Caenorhabditis elegans: one gene and its partner. The protein of the gene in region 2 interacts with the protein of the main gene of each other region in a pairwise test. Each region holds a gene or a part of one and is shown on either strand. Other genes may lie near its edges.

What was found.
Region 1: the proteins of ifd-2 (region 2) and bmk-1 interact in a two-hybrid assay, tested with the Caenorhabditis elegans proteins (one large-scale study listed by BioGRID).

Annotation. Positions count from the first base shown.
Region 1 is NC_003283.11:14,452,707-14,458,753, forward strand, and holds bmk-1 (Kinesin-like protein), read right to left. Parts: upstream 4,279-6,047; 5' UTR 4,174-4,278; coding exon 4,171-4,173; intron 4,022-4,170; coding exon 3,948-4,021; intron 3,899-3,947; coding exon 3,692-3,898; intron 3,642-3,691; coding exon 2,333-3,641; intron 2,288-2,332; coding exon 1,728-2,287; intron 1,640-1,727; coding exon 1,420-1,639; intron 1,308-1,419; coding exon 1,149-1,307; intron 1,101-1,148; coding exon 1,001-1,100; intron 956-1,000; coding exon 696-955; 3' UTR 596-695; downstream 1-595. Other genes in the region: F23B12.7 (uncharacterized protein), read left to right, coding at 1-163; coh-3 (Rad21/Rec8-like protein C-terminal eukaryotic domain-containing protein), read left to right, coding at 4,769-4,830, 4,877-5,079, 5,124-5,290, 5,340-5,500, 5,548-5,684, 5,732-5,862, 5,910-6,047.
Region 2 is NC_003284.9:813,323-817,993, reverse strand, and holds ifd-2 (Intermediate filament protein ifd-2), read left to right. Parts: upstream 1-2,064; 5' UTR 2,065-2,076; coding exon 2,077-2,292; intron 2,293-2,514; coding exon 2,515-2,628; intron 2,629-2,671; coding exon 2,672-2,769; intron 2,770-2,819; coding exon 2,820-2,904; intron 2,905-3,044; coding exon 3,045-3,521; intron 3,522-3,569; coding exon 3,570-3,734; intron 3,735-3,794; coding exon 3,795-3,971; 3' UTR 3,972-4,140; downstream 4,141-4,671. UniProt on the Caenorhabditis elegans protein: Cytoplasmic intermediate filaments provide mechanical strength to cells. Not essential protein.

The DNA of each region.
Region 1 (6,047 bases), on a different chromosome or scaffold from region 2:
AATCGGAGCTAATGATTACGAAATGGCCGGAGATAAATTCGCAGAAATGTTGGAAGATTTGGAAGAGGACGATGGCAAACGTGGAAAGAAGAAAGGTGGAAAGAAGAGAGGATCGACTGGAGGTTTCAAGAGAGGTGGAGCCAAAAAGTTCAGAAAGCGTTAAAGCTTTTGGATTCATTAATTGTTATTTGTTTTTCTCTGTTGTTTTTTTTTGAATTTTGTTTTCGTATATTTTATCATGTTGACGGAATAAATGTTATCCTTGAAATTACTTCTATTTACTGAGACTTCGCTGAGACTATTTCAGCCGAAACTACAGTAACCTGATAGATTTTCGTAGTGAGCCAGTTTTTTTGAAATTAGAGCGCGCTAAAAAACGCAAAAAACCTAGAATTCAGTAAAATTTGTAACTTCATTTCATGTTTCCAAGATCCCTGTGATAATTTGATCTATAGCTCATTTTTATTCCAGAGGGTTACTGTAGCTCTGAAAAATGAACTAATAGTTTTGTGCTGAATCTTAAATGAGTGTGATAATGAAATATCACCGAAACCTGTTGAAAATTGCTTTCCATGATTTGTTTAAAACGCCGGTCATTAAAATACAAAGAAATTTATTGAATTTCACGAGAAAAATTAGCGGAATACATTAAAGAAATGAGAAAATATTTGACATGGAACGAGTTGGTGTGTGCGTTAGTTTTCGAAATCTTCTTCTTCTTCGATTGCTTGTTCTCTTCTCTTTATAATCGACGAAGGACTGAGGAAATTGTTCGTAGTTTCGAGAAGACTGTCTCGGCGGACGAAGGATGTGACACGACGCTTCTTTGTGGCAAGTTCATCGGTGTCAAAGTCGTCATTTCCTTCTCCAAATCCAAGAAGAACTTCGGGTTCGACTGGCTGATTCAACTCCGAGACGAGTGGGAACGATGGAAGAATTCTTTGTGGGACATTCACTGAAAAAATAATTTTCTTGATGGTTATTTTTTATGATAACCAACCTGATGGGTCCACGTGAACCAGAACAACAGAATTGACAACGGCGGCCGACTCCTTTGTCACGACAATAGTCGATTTCGTGAATTCATCGAGGAGCGAACTCTGAAAGATAAATCACATTATTGAGACACATTTCACGGAAAAACTAACCAATTCGTCTGTTGCTTTCTTGGTGCAATCCGAAACCAGCTCGCCAGTTACTTTGCACTTTTCACTGGTTGCCGAGAACCTGCTTTTCAAGGTGTTCGAAAACTCCCTTGCCTCTCCACGCGTAGCTTCAGCCTCATCCGAAAATGACTTGAGAGCGACCTGAAAACAATGTATTATCTTGCGCGATTGAACAATATTTGGGTTTATGAAAATAGAACAACTTCGAGAAATCGATTTGTATAAATGGATAAAATAAAAATTTGCTGCGAACCTTGACTTCATTTTCCTTTTCCTCCGCTCGTTCCTTTTCAACTTGAATGTGGTTCTCCTGTTTTGCATCAGTCTGCTTCAGAGTCTTTTTCGTGTCGTCCATTTCTTGTTTCACATCGCAAGTCTCCACAATGTTGTCTTCGAGTGATTGAACTACGGTTTCTGCTGTGTTTAGAGTATCCAGAATTGTTTCTTGGTTGTTCTGATCCGCAATTACTTGCCTGAAAAATAAATTATCAAAACATGATCTCACAACAACTATAATGGTCTGAAAACAATTATCAGAAAAAGTCCGCTTGCAAAACTTACTTTTCATGATTCTCCGCAACTTTCGTCGACAGCTGCTCAACTTGCAACATCAATGCCTTCATGGAATCAGCCATCGAAGAACAGGCAGCTCTCACATGCTCCACATTCTTCTTACTTTCATTCGTTCGTGCTTCGTAGCTATCACATGTGGTTTGATGGAGAGTAGATACCAATGGTTTCATATCTTCTGTGAAGTCGGATACTTGTTTCTTCACCTCATCCAATTTGTCAACTACCATCTGAGTGAATTCTTGAGATTTGGCCGAGTATGACTTGTAAAAATCATCACACGTCTTCATGACTGTTTCCAATCTGATTCGATTTTCCATCGATATGGCAGTCATGTTGTCGATGACTTTCTTCTCCGCTTCCGACGATTTCTTCATTATGCATATGGCATGTGTCTCCATATCCATTGCCGTACTCTCAATGTCTCGATGAGCAGATTCCATTGATTTGACATGAGGGCAAATATTTTCCGACAACTTCTTTGATAACAGATCACCATCAGCTTTCAGCGAGTTCGTCAGCTTTGAGGTCGTGTCGATGAAATCACTCATCTGAAAAAAAACATCTAACTAAGAATGAGATAATCCTAATATTACCTTTTTCGAGAAGTGGTCAATGACGATTTTATTCCTGTCGTCAGCTCTTTCCATCTCATCAACTTTTCGCCAAAATGCACGAAGATCAGTCTGCATTTCATCAGCTGCTCCTTGAGATGTTGTAAGTTGATCGAATGCCTTCAGTGCTGATGTGTGCATCAAACCGATAACTTCGATATGCTTGTTGAGCACATCGTTAGTATCTGCGAGTTCTTTCTCTTTGACAGCCATTTCGCGAATTCGATCTCTCAGACGATCCTCGAGTTCTCCTTTTCTCTCGTACAACTGTCTATACTGCTCATCCATGTGCATCTGATCTTCAGTGAAAATTCGCAAACGATCCACAGCATTATCCAAATGTTGTTCGAGCTCCTGAACTTTTTCCGAATTCTTTTGGAACTCATCATGCGATTCTTGGCTGATAATAACACCATTTTTTTCTCTTGCAGCTCTCAAGTCTCTTCGCAGCTTCTCAATTTCGTCCGAATACTCTTTGAGGATAGTCTTCTTTGATAATTTTGTGTTGCAGACTGGCTTATTCTTGATATTGGCCGCTCTCATAGCATATTCCAAAGTACTCTGACTTTCCTCGAAATTGGAGCTTGAAGGAGATAGCGTAGCAATCAAAGAAGTGATTGTAGATCCACCGAGGCTGTCCTGTAGAAGACGAGTTAACTTCGACTCTCTGTATGGAATATGCTGGCCATTGGTTGTCAGTAAACGAATTACTCTTCCCAGCGTCAGAAGCGATTGGTTAATGGAACCAGCCTCTTTAGCACGATTTCCTTGTGCTCCTGATCGTCCGATATTTTCAGAACCAGCCAAGTCAACGAGATTAAGCTTTCCTTGCTTCACCAGTTCCTCGCCAGTGGTTGTATTCTCCCGAATGACGACATTGACCATGAAGAGACTGTGAGATCTGCTACTGTGCATGTTCATCAAAGTGGCCGCCGTTCGTCTTTTCTCAGCACCCAACTGTAGAAGTTTGAAGACATCTGAACGATTTCGCACAGGCACTTCTTCCACGCCCGAAACGATTACTCCCTTCTTGTTTGGATCATCAAAAATGCGAAGGCGTTCACGATCTTCATTATCCGTCGAAGCCAAGAGATCGAACAGTTCTTCATTGTAGAGTTCGATGTAACTGACTCGAAGCGAATACTCCTCACAGCCGCATCTTTCCAACTGCTCGAAAATATCCTCAACGGCACGAGGTATGATTCCAGTCGTAGGGTCATCAGTTGAGCTTTTTGCGTCTGTTCTCCCTCCTTCCATTGTGAACGTTTTTCCGGTTCCAGTTTGTCCATAGCTGAAAATTACTATTATATTGAATATTATTGAACCGTCCTGTCTACTAACGCAAAAACTGTGCAATTAAATCCTGCGATAACCTTCTTAATTTGTGATGACACGAGGTCCGAGTAGATTTCTTCCTGAGTCGTGTCTGGGTCATAGGTCCGGAAAAATGGGCCAAATGACTTTCCCTTCAACTCGATAGCTTGTTTTCCTTTGTCCACTTTCACAACGTTGGTGCACTTTTCACTGCGCTCGGTGCCATTCATTGGCCTATAAAAGGGGCATATTTAACTGAAGTAAAAATAAGTTTAAAACTCACCGAATACGAACAGCGACTCGCAAATTGGACGTGGGCTCGGAGTGCTTCTTGCGGGATGCCATTGTCGAATCCAACTAAAAATAACTAATAAAAATTGTAACTAATAAAAGTGCAACAGGAAAATCAATTTGAAATACAATGATTCGCGGCGTCGTGCGATAGAGCGCACCCGCAATAAATGCATTTACCTCATGGGAAAGAAAGTAACCTGCAAAAATCTTACCATTTTAAACAACAACCCAAGTGAATCGAATGACTGAAAACGAAAAATTAGCAGGGTATTCGGCAGTAGCACAAGATTGAGACAAGAAGAGCAACAAACCGAATCAATAGAGAAATAAAAATGAATTTATATTTTTAGAAACGTGATAACTACATAAGTAGTGGTTAATTACTGTGATATATTTGGAGCGAGGAACAACGGAAAGGACACGCGAAAGCAAAGCATAATCGCAAAATTAAATTTTAAAACTTCTAAAGTTTTTAAAAAAATTTGTTCCTCATAATGCTTAAAAATCTCATCGAAAGCAAAACTATAAACATTCTAGAAATTAAAAAAAAATGGCGATTCAAAACTTCGCGGCTGAACATTGCTGGGTCCTGTCACGAAACAGCTAGATTTGATGTGTGCGCCTTTAAAGAAGTAGTACGGTATGCAATGGTCTCGCAGCGATCGAGCAAGCTTACGCGGAGTTTTCAAATTTATTTTTGGGGTTTTTCACTTTTTTATCATTTTTTCGTTTCTTTCGAGTATCTGCATTAAACATCTTTGCAGTTAAAAATTGCAGAAAGTCAAACGGGTAAGAAAGGTAACAATCAGCATGGTGATAAGCATCGATGTACCGCTCAAAGCGTCGGAGGAAGCGACTGTGAAGTTCCTATTGTAATAAAAAGTATTTTATGCCGGATTAATAAATTTTTTCTTGCAGAGGAATAGTTTTTGGTTCTCACAAGAAACTCGGCTTGCAATCAAATCGTCGTGAGTGCTTCAGACACGATGTTCTTCAAGCAAGCAAGCTCATTCAGTGGATTCTCAGTAACGAGAGGAAAAACAGAAGATCTCTCTCCATTGCGTGTAATTTGGTGTACGGAAACACCATAGTTCTCAGTACTCAAGTTGCTCGACTTCTTCGTACGTTGCCAGTATTTAAATTATCACTTTAACAAATATTACAGAAGATGCAATTCGTGCTCGAGAGATCGTCGCATTCACTTCGTACCTCGCGGAAGAAGATGAGAGGAAACGAAAAACTCGTGAACAGATGGAAGGTGACAACTCTAAAACACCAAAGAAGAAGAGAAGAACGATGGTTGAGGAATTTCCTCTCACTCCTACCCCGATCGTAAGTCTAAATGTTTCAAAAATCAAAATTAAAATAAAATCTATTACAGAGTGTGGCTCTAAAACAAAACATTACAATGCCAGATGTTCTCAGTCTTCACAAGAACGACCAAATTAACGTTGAAGACGATTTGGCTGCACCAACAATGGAACAACTTGAAATGATGTACGGGATGTTGGAATCAGAAAATCGGAACACAGCGATTGATTTGTAAGTTCTCTCCTTATATTGTTTGCAATATATATAGAATATTTCAGAACATTCATCGATCGATATTCCTCCAACGATTGCCGTCAAAATGTTCATAATCTGAATTTGGAGACTGATTTTCAACGCCCATCTGATGACTTTATCCGGAGCCAGCTCATGACACCTACCAAATCTATTCCACAAGGTTGATGATTAAAAATGAATTGTAGAAATATTGTTTTTTATTTATAGAAGAGGAATTTCAACCAGCCACACACCTGAAGGAAATGCTTCTTTTCCGCCAACTCCCCATCACACTAGACGAAACTGAGAGAAGAAGAAGCATGGAAGAAGAAATGGAGGAAGCGAGGAACTCTGGAATCGTATGTATAATATTTAAAGTCTTTAAAAACCGAATGATCATTTTCAGAACACCGAGTTTATTCCGCCACAACAAATGGATGTTCCACGACTTGTCTCGGAAAACATGGATCTAGATGACGAAGTTTCGATTCCAATAAGAATTCCCAAAGTTCCTCTTAGTGCTACAAAGAAACAAACGTCTGAG
Region 2 (4,671 bases):
TTTTCTTCCCAACTTGTGAATATGATTGATGAACCACCATTTTGAGTAATAAATGTATTTTTTGTGGACATCATGTTTAAATAAAGAAAACATAGGCAGTTTGTTAGGAGTTAAGTACACTTTCTGGTAAACTTAATGCCCCTTAAACTTAAATTACAGACAGAGAACTTATAATTTTCAATAGAGAAAAAAACAGACTTTCAGCGATCGGAACTCACACCAGCTACTCAACTACGCCTTTTTTGGTAAATCTTCTACAATAAGAGCCGAAGGTTCAAAAACGTAGTAAGCGTTTATTGAGTGAATAATACAGATATTACACAAAACTTATGACAACTTGCTTACAATTTGTGGAAAACAGTAAACTTCATCGGAGCAGACGCGCGAGACAACTTTTTGACAATGGTTTTTGTGATGTTGCTACCAGATAGCGCCGGTTCCGAATAGAAACGTTTATCTAAATTTTAATTAATTTGATCTTAAATTTAAGTTTACGAGCTTACCGTTGTTAAGAACTCCCAAAGCTTGATTCATCGCTTTCATTTGATGACTGAAGCCACAATCAAACGAGAAAGAGCTCATCTTTTTTGTAGAAGAATTAAGTGGCGGAAAATGATCAATTGGCACTTGGAAAATCATTTTTCTTGAAAATGTTGAAGAATAAAAGAATATAAAATTCTGCAGATTAATATTCTTCTATTCTTAGCCCATCTTTAATACTGGAATTTGGAACGAGTTTTGAAAAAATTTGACGGAACAGTGATGTAACTTGCCATAAGGACATAAGAAACGTCGTTAAACCATTCAAATAAATTGGATACGGTAATGGTCAATGCGAATCTGGGCGATTTTTGGAAACTCGATCAAAGATGATGAATTCAGGTTTTTGGGGCGTATAACATCAGCGTCAATTTCAGCAAAAATAAAATTATAAGGATTTGCGAAAATCATGAGTTTTGAATTTCAGATCATGTATAATGTCTGAGTAAAAACTTTTCACTTTGGCAGGAATGTTTCCAGGCAGCATAGTAATCAAGTTTACCATGCCACTCCTAAAACTCAAGCATATGCCGAATGTGAGCGGCCATTTCTTAACTCTGTTTATGTCGGCTGCATATGTGTTACTGAAGTATGTTATGGTTATGTATTCGAAGGCCGAACAAGGAGAGAAGACGAGTAGTTTATTACATTACTAAATTAAGGAATGATTAAGTTAGTTCATAGAGTTCACGTTGCACGATCTTCTTAGCCACGTCGTGGGTCAATACACGTTGATACCCAACAGTTATGACGTCATCAAAAAGGTCTCTGCGAGCACTTCACTTGGCAACTCATCAATCCTACATTACTTCAGTCAACTTATTGGCAAATTAATCAAAATCAAAAAAGGACGTGAGAATGAAAAGAAGATCTCCGAGAATCGCGGGAATTTAGACACAGACTTCTCAACTGATTTTGCATGGTTAAGAACGTGCTGACGTTACTTTTTCTGTGAAAAAAATTAGCGCATTGTTTGTAGATCAAACCGTAATGGGACAGTCTGACACCAAGTGCCCCACCTTGATCTCCCGAACTATAGCCGGCCCAATTGGCCATTTCATTTATTTGTTTAAATCATAATTTTCACGTTTCTTCCTCTTTCCGGTGTAACTCTTATCTTGACAAATAAGCATTAATATTATTTATCAAAAACACAAAACTAATACAAATTTCTTCCGTTTCTTCCTTAGTCATCAAGCTATTTTCTAACCCCCACGCCATGTCATTATGGAAAATGTCAATTTCCATAAGAATTTGAGCAGTTTTATGATTCACCTATTTTGTACGTTACAAGGCACATTCCAAATGAGCTAGCCTGCGTGATAAGTGATAAGGAGGCGGTTGATAACGCCCCGTTTTACCATTTTAAGTGTTTCAGACCGTTAATGTCGCTATACAACTATTATTTATTTAGATAATAGTGATTGGAACGGCTCAGTTTTTCTCATTTTTTAGTTTCAGTGTTTTATATTCAAATTAAAAATATTCAAGTTTTGTTTTTTTTTATTCAAAACTAATTTCTAGAATAAAAACGCCATGACTGACCCTCTCAACCCAACGCGTCTGCAAAATCATCCCGCTCTTGCAAGAATTATTGAAAGCGGGCGGACAAATTTGCCAACCGGAATAACTACCAGTGGAGCACTTTCTGCATATGCTCAAAATGCGGCTGCTATCATCAGAGACAATCGTGAAAGGGAGAAGGTTGAAATTGCAGATTTGAATAACCGATTGGCACGATATGTAGAGAAGGTTAGTTGAATTTTACTAGATTTTGAAACTGTGTAAGTGATAGGTTTATAATCATTGTTGTCCAAATAATTTTGGTATGGAGTGCGCCAAGTTTTTTAAATTTATTTTTATAATTAAATAAATTAATCCGGAAAACCTGAATAAAGTATCAAGTGCACACTGAGCCTTTACCAAAATATTAAATATTGTATAATATTCTGTTTGAACAAAACTATTTTTCAGGTGCGCTTCCTTGAAGCACAAAATCGAGTTCTTGAAAACGACATTGGTGTTTTCCGTAATGCAGCACACACACATTCGGAACGAATTGCTGTCTATTTTGAATCCGAAAAAGCCGTAAGTAATCATTTTTCTATTAAGCTTTAACTTTAAATTGCAGTCGCTTTTCACTTTGGTCCGTGAAAACAAAGCTAAGATCTCGACGGCTGAGCAAAATATCAGAAAACTGGAGCCAGATGTGATTTCTGCAAAGAAAAAGTTAGTTTTTTGTAAATTTACTATACAACTAGTTGTACATATAATTTCAGTTTGGAAAGCTCTTTCCAGCTGAGAGTTCAAACAAGAGAAGACAAAAGAAGTCAAATGAAAATTTTGTCAAACCTGGAGGCAGAGGTTAGTAGACACAATTTGTGTAAAATTAATACAAAAAATTATTTTTTTGACCTAGCAATAGTTCTGGTGCAACAGTAAAATTTCCATTTTTCAAATTGTTTTTTTGAGTTCTCCGATTTCTCAAATCCAACAATTTACAGAATTCTTACATCAAACGTCTCACAACTGACTGTGAAGAAGAAAAAAGCCGTGTCCACTCTGAAATTTCGCGTCTCCGAAGTGATATCAAACGAGTGCATGCACTGCGAGACAAAGAACGCAGCAAGCACTCAAGTTCGTCTCAAGAGTTATTGAAGCGTCTTAACGGGTGCATTTCACAACACGACATTGCCATTCGAGAGGAAATTAGCAAGGCTAGACGTGACACAACAAACAAGAACAGGGACTATTTCCACAATGAGCTGCACGCGGCGATGAAAGAGATTCGAGACCGATTCGAGAAGGATTCACGTGCCGCCAGAAAGACATGGGAGGATTGGTATCACAAAAAGATCACGGAAATCAAGAAGGGATCCGAAAGCTATAGCTCAATACAAAACCAGGCAAGAGAAGAGATTCTTCGAATTAGGTCGATTGTCAACGAGTTCCGAGGAAAGCTTTCAGATTCTGAAACTATCGTGAGTTTGGGAGTTTGGGATCATTTGTTGAAACGTTATTGAATTCAGAATCAACAACTTATCAAACGAATCGACGACTTGCACTTCCAAGACAAGGAAAATCTAAGATTGTTCGAAATTGCACTCAATGAAAAAGAAAATCTAGTAATTAAAATGAGAGAGGAATGCACAAAACTTTCAGTGGAACTTGACAAATTAGTAGAGAACCAGATCGTATGTTCAAAATTTAAAGTTTTAAATTCACAAATTTGTAAATTCCTTAATAATTTCCAGAACTTGCGAAACGAAATCAACCATTACCGCAAACTAATGGAAAACGCTGAGCACCTCCGTACCACAGTTCAAACCCACGTGACCTATAATGCTCCACCGCCACCCTTGCCACAGTCAGGCCCTAGAACAACTTCCTACCACGCCTATGGTTCGGCATACAACGATTCCTTATTGTAACAACTTCGATTGTCATGTTTTTGTTAATTTTGAGTATTGTAATTTCACAATTTCAAACCACCCATGTTCAAATGTACGGCTTGAACTTGCAAAAGTTTGAAGAATTTATTTTTCTCAATTTTCATGTTATTTATATGTTTTATGAATTAACGAATAAAATGTTTTATTTTACTTTCTATGTAACCATTAATCGGATGAAGGTGGGGTGTTCAGTTTACCAATGTAGATCAAAAATAATTCAAAAAAATTTTTTTTGGTACTCTTTCCCTTTTTGTTTCTGAAACCTGATTATGAAGAAGATGTAGGCTTGATGATGGTTGAAAAAAGTGACGTCACTGGGGCAGGGTTTTCTACACTTTTTTCGAAACGCAAAAGCCTTTTTAGTTGTTCTTTATATAGCAGCTCTGGTGTTTTTTTTTTCTAGCAGGCGTATGTGATTTGAAGTTCCTCTTTGATCACTTTGAAATGTAATAATGTACTGATAAACTGTACACGTGAGGTCTTATGTATTTTGTTTGTTTGGCCACACTATACTAGGCAACAAAATTCCAGTTTCCGCTTTTTCTGACTATAAATCATTGGTTGGCAACTCAATATGCATTTTCTGCATTTCTGAAATTATTATAAATGCAATTTCTCAAAAAAAAAAACGGTTTTTTTATATTTTTAAATTTTGAAGTTTTGAACAGTATGAATTCTG